Astyanax mexicanus: one gene and its partner. The protein of the gene in region 1 interacts with the protein of each later gene in a pairwise test. Links are inferred from orthologs where the notes say so. Each region holds a gene or a part of one and is shown in the gene's direction. Other genes may lie near its edges.

Region 1 (7,266 bases):
GGTACATGTGAGCCTTGGTTCTTCCCACAAACTCCTCCAGCTCTGAAGGAGTTTTTTTTGCCTCACTGGGGGTTTTGTATGTTGCATGTTAAATGTTTTGTCTGATTCTCTGTTCTACTACCACATGTCTGTAAAGCTGCTTTGCAACAACATCAGTTGTAAAAAGCACTTTATAAATACATTTAAATTTTCTTAATAACATGAGGGCATCATGTAGAATTTCTCGAATAATGCAAAGAAACAAGTTCATATTCGAAACCACAATGCTACTGTTTTAAGTGTACAGAAATCAATATTTGGTGGAATAACCCTTATTCTTAATCACAGCTTTCATGCTTCTTGGCAAGCTTCTCTTGAGCTTGATTTTTCTGGAGCTGTAACATATACTCCCAAGAGTTATGTATAGTTAATTAATTTGACTAAGAAGATCATTAATATCGCATTAAAACCAACACCATTAATTATTCAGAAAACATTACCACCCACAGTGGACAACACAGTGGGTCATAATGATTGTGACCGGTGGAATCTGGCTAAAACTGTCCGTGCAAACAGACAAGCAACTCGTTTAGTGCAGGAGGCCCAACGTACATATTCCACAGGTCAATGTAACATTCTTTAGCTTCTGTGGGACATGGCAAAACATGGGACACAACACTAGTCCCTGTCCTTTAACTTTTGGCATGTCAGTTTAAGCCCATATATATTTCAGAAAAAAACAAATTAGGACAAATGTAAGCAAAATACAATACCAACCTGGTGCTAGCTTATTTAATTACATTAGTATTGAACCCTTATTGCTTGTGCAACTCTCTAATAGTAGTAGTAGTAGTAGTAGTAGTAGTAGTATTGTTTGTTGTTGCTGCTGCTGCTGTGTTTACACTGTAAATGCAAAACTGGATTAATTTTAAAACCACTCCAGTGAGGGACGCCTGTGGTCTCTGCCTACACTGTTAATGTGTTCAATCAGCCAACACCATGACATTAAGAAATTGAGGTTTACTAACAACATTCTTTCTTCTTCTAGACATCCTAAAAACTTCTGCTGTGGCATCTGGTCATTTCTGCCCTGTTCTCTAACGGCCCAGATTACAGGGACCCAGGCCGCGTTCTGTTACACACCAGTATTAACACACGTACAATCCAGGTGTGACCCTGTTACTGCTTTTAAAACCGTGTTAACTGCAACCTTAGCCCAATGCTCACATAACTTCCCACACAATAGGGCATGGGAACGCCTCTCTTAACGGGTATCCTCTGACATATTTCCTCATTATTACAGTTCTGTAGTGCAATTCGACCGTAATAGGGTTTTAACCTCTTGGGGGGGCTGAAATAGGCCCTGATTGCAGGGGCTGTGAGGTTGATTGCGAGTACTGAATCAACCGATTCAGTACGCTTATCAAATTCCTGGCCCACCACTATAAATGGATGGAGAGATGAGTCATCCTTTCACTGACTGAATCAGGAATCATTGGAACATCCTGAGAGAGGCGTCGGACAGCAGCTCCGCGATGGTTTCAGTGTAGAAGCTGCGAGCAGATATGTGATATGAGGAAACACACTGGTGCCTTTATTATTTAGTTACTACTGTTACTCTCTTTTTTTCTCTCACTCTCTCTTTCTAGTATCATCCCTAAATAAAAAAAACAGCATCCATGAGTTACATAACTACGTAACAAAGCAGGGATGGATTACAAGACTTATTATGCCACCTGGCAGTATAAATTAGGATTTGTAATTACCCAAATTATTTTACAATTTTACTGCAAGTTGACACCATCTAGGATATGACTGGATATGAATTGGAACTGATGCATGGTTGGTACCGTCGCAATTGCTAAAGCCAATCATCATCCCAGAATAAATAAATCCCATAAGAAATAAGTTTGATAGGCCAACTGGGACCCAGATGAATGTCAGTAATGGGACTAGGGCTGCCACGATTAGTCGACTAGTCACGATTATGTCGACTATTAAAATAGTCGACGACTAATTTAATAGTCGATTAGTCGTTTTTTTTTTTCTTTGTTTTTCTCTCCAAACTGCTGCGACTGCCTTTCTGTCCTGGACGCACATGCGCAGTAGTGGAAACCGGGGTAGGTAGTGGACGACATCTCAGGACATTATACAGACAGGCTCTGGTTTCATGGCTACCCCGCTACAGAACTCAAAAGTGTGGGATCACCAAGAAAATAAAAGTGAAACGCGTGCAATGCAATATCTGCAATGAAGAACTTGCCTTCCTCGGCAGCACAACCGCGATGCACGAGCACCTGAAAAGGAGGCATGTTGTGGCTGATTAAATGACGAAGAAGCTAAATTGCTATTTAGCTGCTAAAATTAGCGTAAACAGAGCGTTAACTTAGTACTTAACTTACTCATCTTGATAGCTTTAAAACAGAGGTCACTTATAGGCGGACCGCGATCCGGATCCGGACCCAGACGTTGTCACAAATGCCATCCCAAACCGATAAACTACAGAGAAGGATTTCATTCTGACAGTGGCTTCTGTTTTCAGTGCTTTTCGGTGCAGTAAACTCACAGATCAGTCATGTGTGGTGTAAAATCACCAAACGCTCTCCTCTGCCAATCAGATCTGTGCAGACCGCTGCCCTGTGTACGGTAATGTACACAATATCTGGACAGAGAGGCATTTTTTATTAATATACTTTTTTTTCATAATAGTTCAAACAACCTCACGGTTGAGATGTTTCATAAATGCCAGTGCCTTATCCTTATTTTACACAGTTGTTTACACTTTATGCTAAACAGTAAAATAATTGTCTGTTACAACAAGCTGCATATTTCATTAAAGGTTTAATGAACTATGATTTTAATTGTTTTTATTTTTAGTTAGCATATAGCTGAAATCTAATGTTGGTTGTATAATAGCAGCTGCATTCTATTGCGATAAACTGTGTTTTATATTCAATTAACGTATGATCCGATTAGTCGACTAATCATAAAAAATAATCGGTGATTAGTCGACTATAAAAATAATCGTTTGTGGCAGCCCTAAATGGGACCATGAGGAGTTAAACGTCAGCCCTATCTGGGCTGTACAATACACACAGGACCTAGATGGGACCCATGTGGGATTAAATCAAGGTCCTGTAACATCATATGTACAGTACAAACCCACCTGAAATGCACCTATAGCCCACATTTTACCCATTTGACCCTCACATGAACATATTGGCTGGGATGCTTCCCAAAAATGTGTCTTTGTGAGTACCACAGATACTCATACTCAGTAGAACATTAGCCTCTCACTTTTGTTTACTAGACTAAAGCAACTGAAACCAGAAACCAGCTTTAGGCGACTAAACAGTGCAGAGCACATCATGAACATTCTTTCCTCCCAGTATTGTATTATTAAAAGAAATGAGTGCAAAAGGAAGTAATGCAACAATGAATGAACTGCATTAACCTGTGATTTACTGATATGACCATACATCTTTTGGCCTCAGTAACTATTTCAATGTGTTTGTGTGCATAGGTGTGTACATATACACTTTATAAAAAACAAAACCAATAAACATTTGTACATCAAAATGTGTTCCTTGTTATTAACAAGTGATAATAATAATAGTACTACTACTACTACTAATAATAATAATCTTTGAGTTCAAATGATTAAATCAATAAAAAAGGGGGAAAAGTGGAACTGACTACCCAGGGCCTGAGTAGGGAAAGGGGCCCATGAAAATCCTGATTTTTTTTTTTTTCGTTCACGTTCCTTGTGTACTGACATGGATAGGGGCCCACTGACATTGAGAGTGTACAGGACCCAGAATTTGCTGCTTCACCCCTGTTTATACATATATGTATATATATGTTTAAACAGGGGTGAAGCAGCAAATATATATATATATATATATATATATATATATATATATATATATATATATATATATATATATATATATATATATATATATACAATGACATCCCTAAAAAGGTTAATAAACACATAGATCCACCACAGAAGCAACGGAAACAGTTAGAAAATACATAGTTAGAGTTCATATAAACTTAAGAGGACTTCTAGAGAAAAAAATATTTAAAAAAAGTCCAATATCTAATTGTTTCTATACTTGTATCAAATGTCATGCTTTTATCATAAAGGTCTGGACTTGTGTTCATGGCTCTTTAATTGGGCGTGGCTAGAGCGCCCTAGCGGGCGGGGTGTATTTGAATATTCATGAGAGCACGCTCGCTCCTCCGAGCTGCTGATGAATGAAGACGCAGCTTGAGGAGCGTGTAGCTTTAATCCAAGTCAACGCGATTTCTGCAGAGTGAGAGAAGCAGCCAGCAGCCAGCTGCGGTCACACACACACTCACACACACTCATACACACACACACAGGCTCTCGGATGAAGGCGACAGCACAGGTCAGACTAGCTTAGAGGCGGCTGAGGCTACAGAGAGAAACGCTGCGGCTGTAGTTTCAGATCACATTTCACTCCTAGATTTTGTTGTCTGAGCTGCTACTTGAGATATCTGACATTTTTCCAGAAGATTGAGTCCATTCACCCCCAATATGGACACCATATTGGACAGTTTTGCCTCGGACAAACTTTTCCCCAATTCCAACCTGTTGGACCTGGAGGACCTGAATGAGAGTGATTTCCTTACCAATGTGGTGAGTGGAGATAATTCACTTTCATTAATTCTTCTTTCACTGTTTATCCTGTCATTTCTGCAGGCTAATATAACAGACTATATACTGATGGTGAATTGGATGGTTATGATGGTGTGTTTGTGCTCTGAGGGAAACAGCTGGTGACTATGTGAAACCGGTATGTTCATGATAAAAAGTTGCAGTTTCACAAGAAACCGGTATTTACATGCTAAATCTGACAGTTTGTTTTTCTTTGCAATAGTTTCAGTATCAATGTGTTTATATATACTTAGTATATAACTAAGTATGCGTGCATCTAATCGTTAGTCTCGATTTATTTATATTAAACCCTATGTGACAGTCAGTTTACCAATAAAGTTTAAAGCCCTATGTTTTTTTTCCTTTCAGTGAAAAATCTTAAAAAAATCATTCAACCTGCTGTGTAATCCAAGACTAGGTTTAATCCTGGTTTGGATAACTAACCCCCTACATTAAGTCTGTGTACCAATACCAATACCATAAACACAGGAACTAACCCCCCCAAACACACACACACACACACAGTGTACATATCCTGCGTCACTCCTTACACTTGCGCTTATTCTTGTGTTTATCTGGCGAATTTTGTGCTAACGAAATCTAAACACAGTCAAGACTTTCTCCAGCTGTGAAGTTTGCTCAGCTGTGTGAGCACAAGCAAGCAAGAGCGCAAAGGGGGGCGGGGCGTGGGCTGGGCATGTCTGCCTCTGACACGCCCACATCATACGCCCCCATCCTGCTTCTTGCATCCGGCTGATGATGAGGCTCTCTTTTTCTGTTTAATCAGACAGACAGCAGGTTGCTACTCTCATCTGCGTTGGGGGTCAGAAGTAAAAGACAGTGAACTTTACTTTACTTGACTTTATATCACACTCATGCATAAGTTCCCATTTATGCTCATCATTTATTTTACTTTTACAATGTGAAAGCATTGCTTTAAGTGAATATGCTATATTTGCAATAAAGTTATTAAGCCCTATAATTTCCTTTCAGTGAAAAATCATTAAAACTGCGGTGTAGTCCAAGACTAGGCTTAATCCTGGTTTGGGTAACTGCTCCTATACTAACCCCCTACACTTAGGCTATTTACCAATACCATAAACACAGGAACTAACCCCCTCCCCCCACAGAAGTGAAAGACAGTAAACTTTACTTTACTTGACTTTATCACACTCATGCATGAATTCACATTCATGTTCATCATTTATTTTACTTTTGCAAAGTAAAAGCATTGTTGTATGTGAAAAGACTATACAATCAAGATGTTAAGGTATTAAGAAGTAAGTTAAAATGAAAAAGAACAAAGATAAAATGGTACATCTTCTATGTTTTAGATTCAGTATTATTTCCCCTGTTTTTTTTTTTTTTGAGCTGTTAGTCCTCCTTTAGTTTTAAAAATCTCATATAAAGAAGTGCTTGCAAAAAGTTTTTTGGATGAGTGCAATAGAATTCCCAAATATGCATCTGCACAAACATGCCGTGGCCAAAACATTCACTATATATTATGGTATTTTAACGATAACGATACTCATGGCGATAAAACACTGATTAAAAAATATATATTGCAAGAATAAACTACTGCAACAAAATAAAAATTAAATTTTACTATTGCATATAATATGATAGGGCACACCCCTAACTGAGATATTAAAAAATACAAGAATTTTATCAGATTTGTAACAGAAGAATAATCCAGAATGTCATGATACTAATAATGCACTCCAAATATCTTCATATATCCAGGATTAAAGTAAAATAAATGATATTGGACAGATAGAATCTGTCTCTAGTAGATATATAATGGGAAATGAGAACAGTGTGAATTTTTCTTTGGCTAAAAACAGCAAAAAAGTAGTACCCTGATGTGATAATTAGGGTGGGTGATATAGTATGATATTTTAGGGTATAATATTGTTCACGTAATTCAAAAATGTTGGTGATATTATTGCGTACAATACAATATGCACACCCCTTTTGTGACCTTCTCTACAGTTCACATATTTCAAGCTACAGCACAACAACCAATGCATAGTGTTCACCTAGTATTTAACCACTGCCAACCAACAAATATATAATAGCAACACCGTAGCAACCACTTAGCAACACATTTGCAATCATATTGCAACCGCTGCAGTAACAACATCTTGGCAGCCACTTAGCAACTCCTAAGCAACCCACCTCTATACCATAGCAGCACATTGGTAACCAATTAGAAACACCTGAGCAACCAGCCTCTATACCACAACACCACATTAGCAAGAATGTAGCAGTCCCTGATAAGCTAACTCCTATACCATGGCAACACCTCAGCAACTACTAAGCAACATGCGAGCAACACCTTTACATTGAACACCACCTATACTACACTATACTACACCTAAGCAATTGACTCCGATACCATAGCAATACATTGACAAGCACTTTTTTTTTAAACCTGAGTAAAAAAGAGTGTCATCTTCTTCAAAATCATCTATTTCTCTTTCTTTATCTCTCTCTATATCTCGAGGGTATAGAAGGTCTCCATCATTGACCAGGCTGGATGCTATTGTGGTGTCTGGAATGTTAGAAACTGGAGCAGTGCAGGGGAGTCTGGGTTAGTA
Region 2 (7,071 bases), on another chromosome or scaffold:
TACAAGTTAGAATCAAGAAATTTAGATTTTGTCAATATGGTTCACTACAAGTAAACAATATCGATATAGTACTTACACCACTTATTCCAGGGAGATTGAGCAGTGATCCAAGAATTGGTATTCTTCTAATAAAGCCGACCGCGACTGGGAAAAAGCCCCTGAATAACACAAAGCAGGGATGTGTTAGTCCAGTTGCATACAGTATACGACAATGTAAACCTCTAAAATCACAACACTTACCATTTCTAAACGTCCTGAGCATAAAAGGCCAGTCATATGAGTGGGTCTGTTGCATGAGCCTCTCTTCCATTCAGAAGAGACAAAGGGGTGGATACAGTCCAGTACAGTATAGTTTTAAGATTTGGTGTACATTTTTTATTTTTTATTTTTTTATTTTTTCATTTTTGGCATTAATTTACCTTTTGTTGAAATTAAACACTTAAACACTCTTTTCTATAACAATTCACTGAATTATAGTTTGGTAGCAGCATTAGCAACTAAACTCCTATTCCTAAATACACAGTTCCCACAATACAATGCAAATCTGTGCATACTGTCTATTCTCTGTATGGCTGTGTGGATCAGGTGTAAGTGTGACAAAGCATGGTAAAATATCAAGTATGTTTTATGACTGGCCTTTTATGCTCAGGATATTTAGAAATGTAAGGGTTGTGATTTTAGAGGCAAAATGTTTATTCACAGAAGTATATAATTAAAGCTGTCTAAATTCAAAACATTGTCACCCATAAAATATTAAACATTTTACCTTGACCTTAACAGTAAACCCCGAAGTCACATTCTGTGCTTTAGAGGCTTCCAAATAATTTCCCTTTCCACACTAACTAAATAACTAAGTAACTAACTAAGTAACTAACTAACTACTTTAGGATAAGGTAAGTCAGTGCACAATTTGCTTTATACTCATTTATAAGGATTTGAGGTAGATCAAATACATTATTGGTTAGAGAAGCCTTCATGACTCCTGAAAACCAATTTGCTGGACTGATTATACTGGATGAACAGCACACACAGTACAACACAAATCAGTACCTATGGGTGTGGTTCTGATTTTCCAAAAACAAAAGTGCTTGCTCCTGGTGATGTAACCAAGTTCCATCCCTTGATTTAACACACATGTGCCCATATTCACAAACATTTGTTGAGCAAAATTTCTAATTTAGGATCTGGCCAATTAAATCACTGTAAATCAAAGAGGATTCCTAGATCTTAGATCAGTGATCCTACTGTGATAAGCTTTAGAAATCAGCACAGCTCCTCCTACACAGACTCCCAGACAAAGTTTATTTTTGAGAAGTGAGCCAGCAGGGTAGATCTGAAAAAAACCTACCTAAAGAGAAGGAAGAACCCATAAACCTCCAGGACCACGCCGATGATTGGCCACCCGATCAACACCACAAACACGCCACCCAGGAAGAAACCTGTAGCTTTCATTTTGTGCCGCTGGAAAAAGAATCTGAAGGTTCGTTCCAGTCCAATAACAAAGGAGAGGCCTGCTACAAACAAGATCTGAACACACATACACACAAAATTTAGCCTTTTCCAGAATATCAATAAACATCCACAATAATAATTTTAATAGGAAATATATTTGTACACAACCCTGATCCTAAATGACATTTATTCCTACATGTTAGTGGTCTCCTGCTCCAACACACAGCTTGATAAACAAGCTAAATCAGTGGTTCTCAAAACTTTTAAAAGCAATGTACCACCCATGATTAAACCAAAATGTTAAAGTACCACCTACTGGGGGCTACTGTGTGAGCTTTACCCACTCTGCAAAATGTTGATTATTGTTTCTTTTAAATGCAGTGAGATAACAGGAATGTGAGAAAATATAGTTAACTACAGAGTCTACATGACACCCCCTTGAACCTTAGGCTAATTATTTTGATTTTATTACTGATACATAAACTTTGAATAGTGGAGTTCCACAAGGTTCAGTTGAAGAGCCTATGAAACTATAAAGAACTGAAGTGTGAGCTTACATACAGGGCGTACCAGGTTAAGCAGTAAATAAAAAACAAACCTGGTGTTGTGACAATTTGAGGAAAATGTTTCAGATTTATTTAGAGTTATTAATATTTGTGTACATGCATCTGGTGTACCACCCTGAAATTCTTTGCATACCACCAGTGATACACGTACCCTAGTTTGAGAACCACTTAGCTAAATGGTTAGCTGGATCAGTTGTTGAGTATTGTGAACATAATAATCACTAGAACAGTGCAGGACTGATCCTGGGTCCTCCAGGATCTCCAGGTGCATGGTTGTGAAAAGCCACAGTGGTAGCTAGCTAAAGTTTGAGTTACACCCAAAAAATATCACTAGCTACATCTACTAAACACCCACGCACTCACATTCCCTATGGCCAGCAGAGCTTTATCAAAGAACAGGATCATCCCAAAGAAGAGGAAGAACACGCCGAAGCCCGTCAGACCCATCCCGATCTCTGCAGAGACAAAGAAAAGGGTTTCAGCACATGATCAGGACTACACAGACACACATATCAGCACACACTACCTGATGAATCCCCTCTGAAGAAGCAGGTTATGTGAGACTGTCGGAATAGCTGTCTGAATTAGAGAGAAGCTATAGTATCTGTATATATGGAGGAGGTGTGAATTAGCCCCGGAGCTGCTGCAGGCCCAGCCATCACCACTCATTCATTCAAACTGCCGCCCCCTGAACACTCCCAGCCCTGCGCCGCTATGTACACACACCACACCGCTCACTATCAGACAGACAGTAAAGGGCTCGCTCACTCTGGGAGTCCGTTAGGGAGATCATCTTCACTCTGTGAACTTTGTTTCCGCGCTGACTGATAGCTGATAGCGGAGGAAAGCGCCGCACCGACTGATTTCAGCTATCGCCACGTCTTCCGGAAGCACGCACAGACGCAACAGTGCCGAGGATGTGACAGAATAAAAGTCCCTCAGCCTCACAGACAGATGCTTTTCTTTTTTTCATTTTTTAATGTTTATTAAGATATTAACACCTTATATTCAGTGTTTTTTATTCTTTAAAAAAGAATACTAAATTTATGGAAACTACAAATAAAACACATGTTTTTTTTAAGTAAACAGTAAGTAAAAAATAAGGTGTTAAACAAACCAGAATATATATTATATATTTTACTTATTTATTCTGCTTAGATTAGACAGATTTAATTCTGAGTCAGACCAGGAGTCATACATTAATAAGAAGCAATGATTAAAAAAATTATAAATGTTCAATTAAACAATTTGTTAGAAATATTAATAATGGTTCAAATTATATTTTCATACTGATAATATGTAGCTAACTATATATTAAACAATAATTAAATAATTTGACTTAAACAAATAACTGTTCATATTATAGTTTTTATATGTTGATCAAATTGAACTTACTTTGTATTATTTTTTAAACATCTTTAAACATTTTTATTATTTTGATTCTTGAATTTTGATTCAGTTACACCCCTTTAGCCAGCAGTGTAAAGGTTAATCGTGTGAAGGTATTTAATCGTCAGTCAGTTTTTAATTACGCCACTTAATTATTGACAAAAGGAAAAATGAAAACATTTTTTAACAAATAAGATTTTATTATTTATATTTTCTTACTAATAGAATATATCTATGTGTTTGAATTGCCTTTATACATTGATTAATTTTGAGTACAATTAATGTAGTCTTTCAGAGCGAAATTACTGCGTTTTACGTTTATTGTATTTTAATATATATTTAACTATTTTAACTATTTAACTATAAGCTATATGATTATTCATTTTACTATTGAGAAACCTTTTTATGAATATTAATTTTTTTACTGATCACATGCTTGCGGCAGGAACACACCTCTTGCGCTAATTTTGTGGGAAATGTAGTTTTCTTTATTCCCGAGCGTGACGGTCATGCATAGTAAAGCACAGTGAGAAAGACTACAACACCCAGCCCTCCCTTATGTTTGAACTACAATGAAGCCGGGATACGTGTTCAGCGAGCAGTTCTCGTTTCATTGAAAAGCTCTGGTAGTGTATTTATCAATATGCTGTGGGTCGGTTTGGTTTAGCCAGTCAGTGTAACGCGGTGGGGAGCCTCGTTTGGAGTGTGTAAAGATGAATACGGCCTTTGCAGTGAGTTTGGTGTTTGCTGGGTGCTGCAGTAATGTTGTGTTTCTGGAACTTTTGGTGAGGTAAGTGTAACTTCTCTAAAGCTGCAGCTGTGGTTGGCTGCAGAAGCTCTCTGAGAGATTATTGTGGTGGAGGCTGTAGTGTCTTAATTACCACCTTGCTTCCAAATACAGCCATAAAGACTACAATAAGTGTTTAGCGTGTGTCTAATTATAACAGGCCTGTGTACTGAATGGAAGTGTTTTAGTAAGTTTGCTGTGAAGTTCCTCAATAACGTGACTTAATGTTAAGAGCCGATTTAACTCATGTGTGATTCGAAACTGCAGGAAATTCCCAGGATGTGGAAACATCGTCACGTTCGCCCAGTTTGCCTTTATTGCCCTTGAAGGCTTCGTCTTCCAAACGAATTTTGGACGCAAGAAACCTGCCATACCTATCAGGTATCAGACACATCAGCAAGAGCATGCCAGCTCTGTAAATGTCAGCTGCTGTACACATAGCTAGCACATGTAGTCTGTGTAGCTAGTCTGTGTAGTACAAATGATCCTGCCATGTAGTTAGTGAATGTTGTTTTAAAAAGTCCACTATATTCTCTTTATGTACACTGCCTGGCCAAAAAAATATTTTGCTTTTTTTTTTAGCTTTAATTGCGGCATGCATCCACTGTGGCATTGTTTCAATAAGCTTCTGCAATGTCACAAGATTTATTTCAATCCACTGTTGCATTAATTTTTCACCAAGATCTTGCAGCATTGATGATGGTAGAGTCTGACCGCTGCACAAATCCTTCTCCAGCACATCCCAAAGATTCTCAATGAGGTTAAGGTCTGGACTCTGATCTCATGCTCTCTGAACCACTCTTTCACAATTCCAGCCCCCTGAATCCTGGCATTGTCATCTTGGAATATGCTCGTGTCATCAGGGAAGAAAAAAATCCATTGATGGAATAACCAGGTCTATATTCAGTATATTCAGGTAGTCAGCTGATCTCATTCTTTCAGCACATACTGTTGCTGAACCTAAACCTGACCAACTGCAGCATTAACCCCACATCATTTACTTAGTTATCTCCAGGTAGTGATCCACTTTTTCTTTTGGCCACGCAGTGTATTATCTTATCAGAGCTGTATTGTTGTTAAATATCCTTTGATTGACTTGAATGACTCAGCCTAACACATGGTTTTATTGGTTTAAGCTTGGTTAAGTTGTCTGCTAGATATTTACTCTCTGTTTCACTTTTGCAGTAACTATGTGATAATGGTGACCATGTTCTTCACTGTAAGTGTGATCAACAACTACGCCCTGAACTTCAACATCGCAATGCCCCTGCACATGATCTTCAGATCTGTGAGTCATGTCTCTTGCATATCTTTTTTATAGACAGTAATCTAATTAATTGGTATATGTGTCTGGTTTATTAATTAATTTTATAATTGATGTAAATATCTTCCTTCTCAGGGCTCATTAATAGCCAACATGATATTGGGTATCATCATATTGAAAAAAAGGTTGGTTACATATACTGGATACATTTTCTTTACCCACCTAATCCAGTTTCAGCTTTATTTATTAATCATCTCATTAATTTAATTATTGGAACAATATGTGCAATGCTTTTATGTCTGTCGTTTTTACATGTAGGTAATTATACCATTTGATGCATTACAGTGTACTTTATTACTTATCAAATGATTTCTTTCTAATAAAGGTATTCAGCAAGCAAATACCTTTCCATAGTTCTGGTATCGATAGGCATTTTTATCTGCACGATCATGTCTGCAAAACAAGTGGTGAGTATTGCATACACTTCCATTCAGTTTTACACTGTTCCTCTTACACTGTGACTAAAATAAGTAAATGGTGCCCTAAACAGTAGTTTGAGTGTTGTTTTTTTATTTTGTTGCTGTTGTGCAATAAATCTAGATTTGTTTTATTATTTTTTCTTGGATTGTAATGTAAATCTTTTAATATTTATGCTTCCTTTAAGTCATGGTTTAATGATGAATGGATCAGTAAAAATAGAAATGCTCAAAGAATACTTTTATTCAAAGTGTAAATTTGCCATTATGAAAATGCAGTTTTTGCTTGACAGTGACAATATATCTTTGATGCTTTACCTTAAAAAAAACTTGTATGTCTGCACCTGTTCTGTTGTTTTATCCTTGTCTTGACAACCAGATTGTTTTTTTTTATGTGTAAAGTCAATCTAAAATACTTTGCTCGATTTTTAGTTAATGACTCTTATGAAGCATTGTTTCATAAGAGTTCTTGTTCAAAGTTCTTGTTTTTCTGTTGTCTTTAAATAAGTGTAGTTTAAATTTTGCTGTGTCTAAATTGTCTTCTGTTTTTTTTATGAAGTTTTACATTTTAATTATAATAGAAATCACATGTTTATATTTAATAATATAATGTTTTACCTCTCCCTGGCACAAACTCCACCTATCAATAAACAAAAATGAGCTAACTTAGCTTGCACTTCCTTAGCATGTTTCATTCAAAAATATGTTTAAAAAAACAAAAAAAAAACAAGTTAATTATATTATGGCAAGTAAATGTTGACTTTAATTCCGTTACACAGAGTGCACAAAAGGGTTCTACAGAAGAGGACGGAGTTTATACTTTCCTACAGTGGCTTGTAGGTAAGCACTTTGCGGTGAATTTTATTATTTTATTTATCATGAAATGCAGGCATAATGTAAGGATCAAATTATGTAAAAAGTGAAATATTAAGAGACATTGTTTTTGTTACAGATGTATTATTATTATTATTATTAATAACAACTTATTTATTTATGTATGGCATTTGCATGTTTTTGCTTGTAACATTTTCTGTATTTATGTAAGGTATTTGCATGCTGACATTTGCGCTGCTAATGTCGGCAAGAATGGGCATTTTTCAAGAGACTCTGTACAAGCAGTATGGAAAGCACTCTAAA

The links. The genes of interacting proteins can lie anywhere in the genome.
Region 2: the proteins of creb3l1 (region 1) and slc35b4 interact in binary tests that used the Homo sapiens proteins (3 or more experiments, as listed by UniProt). The two-hybrid records come from large-scale screens. The link is inferred for Astyanax mexicanus from reciprocal best matches to the Homo sapiens genes CREB3L1 and SLC35B4.

The regions. Positions count from the first base shown.
Region 1 is NC_064430.1:14,608,770-14,616,035, forward strand, and holds the start of creb3l1 (cyclic AMP-responsive element-binding protein 3-like protein 1), read left to right. Parts: upstream 1-4,253; 5' UTR 4,254-4,546; coding exon 4,547-4,648; intron 4,649-7,266.
Region 2 is NC_064409.1:59,302,582-59,309,652, reverse strand, and holds the start of slc35b4 (UDP-xylose and UDP-N-acetylglucosamine transporter), read left to right. Parts: upstream 1-3,978; 5' UTR 3,979-4,120; coding exon 4,121-4,197; intron 4,198-4,461; coding exon 4,462-4,575; intron 4,576-5,379; coding exon 5,380-5,482; intron 5,483-5,593; coding exon 5,594-5,643; intron 5,644-5,843; coding exon 5,844-5,925; intron 5,926-6,713; coding exon 6,714-6,774; intron 6,775-6,979; coding exon 6,980-7,071. Other genes in the region: golt1bb (golgi transport 1Bb), read right to left, coding at 77-158, 1,349-1,527, 2,382-2,473, 2,787-2,811. UniProt on the Homo sapiens protein: Antiporter that transports nucleotide sugars across the endoplasmic reticulum (ER) membrane in exchange for another nucleotide sugar.